Bombyx mori: one gene and its partner. The protein of the gene in region 2 purifies or fractionates together with the protein of the main gene of each other region. This does not show direct contact. Links are inferred from orthologs where the notes say so. Each region holds a gene or a part of one and is shown on either strand. Other genes may lie near its edges. The genes, in order: RNA helicase aquarius and pre-mRNA-splicing factor syf1 homolog.

Region 1 (3,831 bases), on a different chromosome or scaffold from region 2:
TCTGCCACGAAGCAGTTATGCGATTGAGTCTTCGACCTCATGTCTCAAGGCGGATGGCGGCATCTTGTGATGCCTATAAGATGCCTATAGGTTGTGAGCACTCATTGAATGCTAATAGATCGTAAGATTTTCTTCTCATCTACATTAATATAATATGAAATTACATACATATTAAACGACGCATATGTACATATATTACCTACACTCAATACACGATAAAAGTAATTGTATCTAATTGACGTACATACGCTTCATCAGATCGCGTGGTTTTCTGGGAATTCAACAAGATAAATTCTGACGCATCATGACGAATTCTATTTTAAGATTTTTACTTTTAGTTTTTAACAAACAGTGCGAATGTCAATTTCTTGGACACTGTTAAATCCATTTCACAGTGTCAAAGAAATGTAGGTATCAATGTCTCAATATGAAGACATTTTAAGATAAGTTTATATAATATAGTAGATAAGTAAAGAGTGGAAAGTTATCGTTGTAAGGGGAATATATGCAGTAAGAGGATGCTCGTGTGGCCAAAAAGACCTTGGGTATAAAAGTAGACGGTAATATTCTGACGTCATCGAGTCAATAACTAGTCGGAACTATCTTACAGAGCGTTTAACGAAACAACACTCTCCTCAACGCATAAAGCAATTGTTATCACTCCTTTGGTACAAATAAAACTATTTATAAACCTAACAATTTAAAACTCAATGAAACGGAAAAGCGACACTGAAAAGAGACAAACATATATCTATACGATTTAGCATGCGAGAGAATGAGATAGAAACACTTCGGAAGGTTTCGCTTCTATGGCGCGTGAATTTTAGACGTGTTTTTTTTTTCAATCCATCTTCAGTTTGATTCGCAGACTCACGCTTCCCATGACCATGATACTACCAAGATAATAGAGATACGATTCCGATCGTGTAGTAGATTCATTCGCGAAGCTATTGCTCTTGAGTTGTTAGGTCTCCTTCGGAGGCGCTCGGGCAGTTGTTAGCAAATCCCACCCCTCCTGGCTGAGCCTTTGCTCGGCCACCTCACCTGGTGAAACTGGAAAGGCCTCCGGGCCACCAGTAATCTTTCAATCATATATAAAAAAAATATATACGAACCTCGTGTAATGAGCTTGACCGGGATCTCCGTAGCCCAAGACTATATCGTGAAGCCAGTCCGGTACAACGCATTCGGTGTTCATTAATTCTCGTATCGTTTCCAATACGGCCTTGAAGTTGTTCTCTTTCGGTTTACGACGCATAACTATATTGAAAGTCTCGTACACGTCCTGCGATAATCGTTTTAAAATAACGTCACCGATTTATTATATCGGTTTAATAAATCGGTGACGCTTTCGCGCCTTAACCAATAAATCGCGCATCACTAAGCACATACACGTACGTTGTCAGGGGTACATAAAAAGGACGCCTTTCATTCAAAAAGACAGTGCTGTTCCTGTTAGATATATGTAGACGTTACCAGATTCACGTAAAAGCTTTCATATTACTTTAAATCAATTATTTATTGGAATTTAAACGGTTACCAGTAACCAAATACATCACGCTTTGAATAATGACATCCACGATGAGTGAAGTCTCAATTATAATTGAAGACTTGAGTGGATGAAGGGGTTAAGTACCATTTTTAAGAATTTTGAGTTTTTACATTGAATGAAGGCGTTATGTGTCTATAAACCATATTAGAACTTAAAACTCCGGGTTTAGACGCTTTTTTTAGAAATTGCATGTTATGAAGGAGTTATGTTCGAATAAAAAGTACAAGTACCTAACAAAAATTTGATGCCCGTTTTCGCAAAATTATCAAATTATATCATATCCCCTTCATCCACTCATGTCCTCAATTCACGGCGGCTTTGTGGCGGAAATAGACTAGACGGTGTTACCATGCGACAATACGCCCCAACAACAGGTCAGATCCATGTGAGTTCACCTAGTCATTCGGCAAATCTAGTATGACCCCTCGGGGTCACTAGAGTATAAAAAAAAAACGCCACAACATTATCGTGCATTTTTTTAATTGATTTCATTTTATTAGCCCCGTTATTCTTTCATCTTGTATTCATTAGCGAACATGTAGTAAGTGCGTATTTCGTTAGAAAAATTAGTACCTACATGCGGGATTTGAACACCGGTATTATCGCATCGCTCGATACGAGTACACTAGGCGCCTTATCTTTTAGGCTACGACCACTATTTACTTGCGATCATCCGTCTCTTCTAGAAGGTCCCCACGATTGGGTCCCAGTAGATGCGAACAGGAGTTTGGTACAAAACCCAAAATAGAGTCCTGAACAATAATTGTTATAGTTACCTCATTCCCTTTACTAGCTCTGTCCAAGTCAAGTCTGTATTGGTTAGGATCGAGTAAGAGCCTGAAGGTCCTGGAATCTCCCTCTAACTCCGGCCGCGGTTCCGGCCCGTCCTCAATGACTCTGCCGGATGCGTCCAGCATACCTTCAACTTCGCAACCCCTCACGTACACTATCCCCGCCTGATCCACCATACTCTTTCTGTAGTCATACTTTGTACCTATAAGAATTTTCAAATCTGAAGCTGAATATGTCTATATAGTAGAGAGAACTATCTTATAACAATATGATATCAACGACTGATGTAATTTCAAATCAATCGGACGAATAATACGCAAACAGAAAAAAACGTGTTTTATTCTTTCTTCTTCTTCCTTTCCTTGTCCTACTTTAGGTGGGGTTGGGTCTTCTAATTCGTCTACACTGGGAATTTCTATCCTGTGTTGTCATGCTGTCAAGTCGGACCTCATTCAGAGGTCGGGATATATTGTTCCGCAATGTCCCCTTGCCTTTTTCAGACAGCTCCATTGCTTGGTGAACGGCATAGTCATTATGCGTACGCATCACTTATCCTTACTATCTATGACGAATCTCTGAGAGTTTTTGAGCAATTGGAGCAACAATTTCCTCGTATGTGCTTCACGTTTTATTTCACGTGTATTACTCAGTGAGATAATTTAAATTTTATTTCTTACAACGAATCGGATCGATTCTAGGAATGTCGATGGTCGGGACGTAAAAAACAGAAGCGCACTTGAATTTCAAAAACAGATGCCTCGAATTTATTATGGGAAAGACCTTGATTCCGTTCTAAGTCGGTGAGTCCCGACACCACATCATAGAAATTGGGGAAACCCAAACGTCGGGGCGCCGTGATAGTCGTCTAAATATTTCGGAGAGCATTTCTTGGCACAAATAGACAACATAAATACAATTATATCACAACAGCATAAAAAACAAATTTAAAAGTAACGTAAGCAGTCTATCAGAACACGATATTTTCTCAAAATCATCTATACTATAATATTCTAAAGCTGAAGAGTTTGTTTGTTTGAACGCGCTAATCTCAGAAACTACTGGTCCGATTTGAAAAACTATTTCAGTAATAGATAACTCATTTATTGAGGAAGGCTAGGCTATATAACATCACGGCAAGACAAGTGGCGCACCAATAAATAATGTTTCAAAATAGGGGTTTAAATAGCTCCTTAACATTCTATAATTCAAAAATATTTTCACTTTCTACGTAAATGAAGTGGGGGTAGAATTTAGCGTTATGCCAAAGTAACTATTCCACGCGGACGGAGTCGCGGGCAAAAGCTAGTATACGATAAAATCTTGACAAAAATGAACTAAATAAATTGCAGACGAATTTATTGTATTCGCAAACTTAATGGTTCTTAAAGTTACCTTACCTATGCCTTGTGTAGGTCTGACGGTTACCAGGAAGCAAACGTCATGCTTCCTGAGGTTTTCCCATTCGTGTTTTATCTCGTTTCTGAGGC
Region 2 (4,533 bases):
CTGTGCTGCAGAACTCAACATTTGTGCAGACATCATATTCACCTGTGTATTATATGTGGCTTGCACACTTCTTTTAATTCTTAACATTTCTCTCATTGTATCTTCATTACCATGCCTAACTTCAAATTCTTTCCAAGTGTTCCAAAAATCAGCTGTAATTCTAGGATCACACATTTGACTACAGTGTGCATATATTGCCCGAGCTCTATCAATTTCACCTAGGCGAGTTTCCATTTCTGAGAAGCGAACACACATTTCCCTAGCCTTCTCTTCAGGAAGAGTCTCAATAGCCTTTTCATAAATCTGTCGTGTTTTAGGAACTCCATAAATTTCAGCAGCTTTTTTAATATAAATATTGAACATTTCAAACATTTCTTCAGGTAGAACGGCAGTAGTAGCTCTCTCATATACAGACATTGCATGTCTAGCTAAACCATGCTCTTCTTCCAATTTTGCATATAATAAGAAAATAGACTTTGCAAATTCATTGGGACAATGCTCAAGACATTGCTCAAATAAATCTCTTGCTCTTTCAAGTTTTGAACCACCATATCTTTTTAAAAATTTTGTTAGATATGTATTCCAAATATCATACACATTAGGCCACTTGAATAAGGCAATACCCTTTTCATATGCTCTAAAAGCTTCTTCAAAGTAATTATGCTCTTCTAAAAATAATCCATAATTGATAATAATTTGTGGAGTAGCAATTTTTAAATCTATAATATGATCATACACAGCTTTGCAAGATTTGAATGTACCAAAACTCTCTTCTAAGTCAGCATACATGGACCAAACCTTTAGTGATTTATACAACCTCATTTGCACAGTTTCAGAATCATCATGATATGCTACTTTTCTGCTTGGTAAAACAGTGGCTCTTTGCATTAATTTTAGGGCTTGCTCATAATTTTCATGTCTGATTTCCATTTCAGCCCATTCACACCAAACTGAAGCTAAATCGTCTACTTTAACATATGCTACCTGTGTAGCTTTTTCAAAAATTAATCTGGCATCTTCAATTTGGTCATTGTTTTCATAAAATTTTGCAAATCCAACCCACAGTGTGAAAAGTTTACCAACAGCTAATTTAGGGTCTACAGTTTGCACTGCTTCAGTATATGTATCTATTATTTCATGGGGTTTACCTTCATATAATTTGACTCTTTTATGCCATTCAGCCACATTATGTGGATTTTGTCTAAGTAGAACTGAATTAAGCAGTAACAGCCTTCTTTCCATAAGATACTCAAATCTGGCAAGTCTCAATTCTAAATCAATATCATCATCTTCACTTGGATTAGTTTTCTTGGCAACTTCTTCCATTTTTTTACTAAGACTTAATTCCTCAAATTGTGCATAAGCATCAAATATTTGTGTAAAATCCCTCACTGTAGTCACAGTTTGTATAGCTTCTTCATAAATGTCTCTGGCTCTTTCAAAAAGACCACTTCGAACATAATAGTCTGCAAGAGAGTTCCACAGGTGGCCTAGCTGATCAGTGTAACGTCTTAATCCCCCTCTGATAATAGCGTCGACATTCAGAGAATGAATTTGATCAGGATTCTTTGATATCAATTCACATAATTCATTCCAAAGTTGATGATTTGACTTTCCATGTTTTGATTGAAAATTCTCATTATTAACTAGTTGAGCCAATTTGACTGCAGCTTCATCTAATTTATCTATTGAAGTTAAGTAGTCAATATACTCTTCAGTATCTTCAGGACATAATTTAAGATACCTACGAAACACTCTTACAGCTGTTTCGGGTATATTGTGTTTCTTCAAGAAATTTAAGTAAAGAGGCCATATCCTATGATGTTGAGTTATTGGTAAAGCTCTAAGAGCACTGTCAAACGCTTTCCTTGTTGTAGTTATTTTATACTGATCTGTTAAGAATGAACAGTAATCCATCCATATTCTAGGCATTTTGTGCATAAATACTAAAGACCTTTCAAAGCAATTGTTTACATCTTCATAGCATGGGTCAGCTATACAGCGACCTCTTATTTGTTTTCTTCTTAATTTAAGATAGTTATACCAAAGTTTAAAAGATCCTGGTAATTCTTTTAAAGCTCGTTCATATATCATATTAATTTCATGTTTGGGTGCAGTTTTCTTGTGTTCAATGTACCTAAGCCAATGTTTGACAGAAAATGGATTTCTTAGGATTTCCTCTTCATACGGAAGATCTTCTTCACTCTGTAACAATAACAATTTTATTTGAATTAATATGATAATAATGTTTGATATCAACGTACCAGAAAACCACAAAAGCTTTGGTTAGATTTTTTAAAGCAGTTGATATATTAAGGTTTCTTTGTTAATTGAATTTGGGTTGAAAAAAATATTTGTTGATTGTATTTTCATATGTCGGCAAAAGTAAATATGTATGCACACTAAGCATTGTAAATTATAAAAATATTTTTGAACTTACGAAGAATATGTCGATTTCTTTTCCGTCTAGAAGAGGCATTCTAAAGCTTTCGAATATGTACCGTAGGTACTATAAATTCAATTCAAACAGTTGAGTAATTGAATAATTAGCTTAATTCTATTTCTTTAGAACACACTCAAATATATTATGTGTATAATCTATGGAACACACTTCAGTGTTTAATCTATGACACACAATATCATAGATTGTACCTTATTTTTTTAAGAGATTTTATGACCTGGTAACTAAGACCTTTAGGTCATGTTTTATTTTAATTTATATTTTAATTTTTATGAAAAATCATAATATGGAGTGAAATGAAATGAGATGAGATGATGTGAGATGAAATATAATCTAAGTAAAATGGTGGTCATTTACTGAGAATTTTGATTCAGTGGACTTTTTGGAGAATCCCGAAAAGTTACGTCCAGTGGCTTTGTTTCATTTTCCCACTTTTGTGCACTTTCACAGATATTAAACAGTTAATAAACCACCGTTATTACACATTTAAACTTGAAGAAACACTAAGTAAACAAAATAAAACAAATCACACAATTTCACTCCTCGCGTTCCTGCCAAAAATCCGATTATAGATTAAAGAACGGAATAGATCCGATTATACCATAAATTTTAAGTATCTATAGATTATACACACTTGTGAGATAACTAATTTAAGTATTAGTTTGTGCGGCTTAATAATGTAACTGATCAAAATTAATTAATCTGAGCGATGAAAATAAAGATATCTAGTAAGGGGGGGCCCAACTTAAGGGAGATCATTTGTTTAATTAATTATAAATAATTAAAAGACGAACAAACAATTTTTACATTCGAAAATTAACGAACAAACGACGAACAAATAATTAAAAATAAAAAAAATCCAAAAATCAAAAAACGAGGGGCCAAATTTAGTGAGCCCTACCTATCTACTCCACGTGTAAAAGCGCTTCTGCTTTTGCCTTGGGCCTTGTAAGCTATCATAGATAATACGCTTATTATTTGAGTTTGAGATGTAAGCTGATTGTAACTTGTAAGCTATGTTAGGAATTATGGCCATCCATTGCCGTACTGCATGCAAACGTGTTGTTAAACAAAGATTTAAGTAAATATTAATTTATGTAACGAGAACTACATTCCGCTTGCCTACTAAGAGAAACTAGTAGAAAAAAATCGCTCCAAATAATAGCGTTTGTCATAGATAATAGACCATAAATAAATGTTTGTACAATTCCTTTTTGTAAAAAATATAAAACCTTTAATTTACTTGACTTCACCGTGCCGGTTAGAGAAGATTATTTTTTAGTTCTTTTTTTTTAGTTTAATGTGATACAAATGTATTTCTACTATAATGTCAAAACAAGGAAAAAGAAAAATATCTGTTGAATTGCCGAAAACGAAAGATCTCTCTATTAGACCTAGTGTGTTTGATCGGCTCGGTACTAAGAAATCATCAAGTGCTAAAAAAACAACTGAACATTGTAGACAGTGGGCCCAACACGGCAGCTGTGCTTACGGCAAAAGTTGTAAATTTGCTTCTACGCATACTCTTATCAGTCCTTCTAAACAACGCGCAGCTCATAAAGACAATGATCAGAAACGTTTAGTGAAGGATGATGGGAAGACTAGATTGCATTCTACTGTTATAGTGCGGTCAGGTCAAAGCCCCGAAGGAGAAATCGATAACTGGGACCAAAATGACTTAGAGTATGCAGACACAGATGTCCTCGAAAAACGAAGACAGCAGTTGCAGCGTGAACTAGAATTACAGATGAAAATGGATTCAAACAAAGACATGCGAAAAGATAAAAAAAAAGTCGTGTCCAGTACGTCTTCATCTAGAAGCTCTAGTTCTTCGAGTGTTTCGTCGTCTTCATCAGACGGCAGCACATCGTCATCTTCATCTGGAAGGTAAGTCTCACCATTGTGAAATATTAATTATCCCACATGACATGTCTAATTCTGTGTTCTACAAATTAAATATACAAATGAAAGATGGAGCTACTTTATTTAAGTATTGATCAACATTAGAACTAACCATATAAAACTCATCAGCAAAGATTATGGTGAAATTTCAAGAGTCATATATTGTTAAA

Evidence for each region.
Region 1: the proteins of pre-mRNA-splicing factor syf1 homolog (region 2) and RNA helicase aquarius fractionate together in Homo sapiens (co-fractionation; 3 studies listed by BioGRID and IntAct, with this or other methods). This does not show direct contact. The link is inferred for Bombyx mori from reciprocal best matches to the Homo sapiens genes XAB2 and AQR.

The regions. Positions count from the first base shown.
Region 1 is NC_085131.1:6,792,676-6,796,506, forward strand, and holds part of RNA helicase aquarius, read right to left. Parts: coding exon 3,742-3,831; intron 2,547-3,741; coding exon 2,329-2,546; intron 1,286-2,328; coding exon 1,116-1,285; intron 1-1,115.
Region 2 is NC_085110.1:13,377,010-13,381,542, forward strand, and holds the start of pre-mRNA-splicing factor syf1 homolog, read right to left. Parts: upstream 2,820-4,533; 5' UTR 2,480-2,819; coding exon 2,441-2,479; intron 2,206-2,440; coding exon 1-2,205. Other genes in the region: zinc finger CCCH domain-containing protein 13, read left to right, coding at 3,789-4,348. UniProt on the Homo sapiens protein: Involved in pre-mRNA splicing as component of the spliceosome. Involved in transcription-coupled repair (TCR), transcription and pre-mRNA splicing.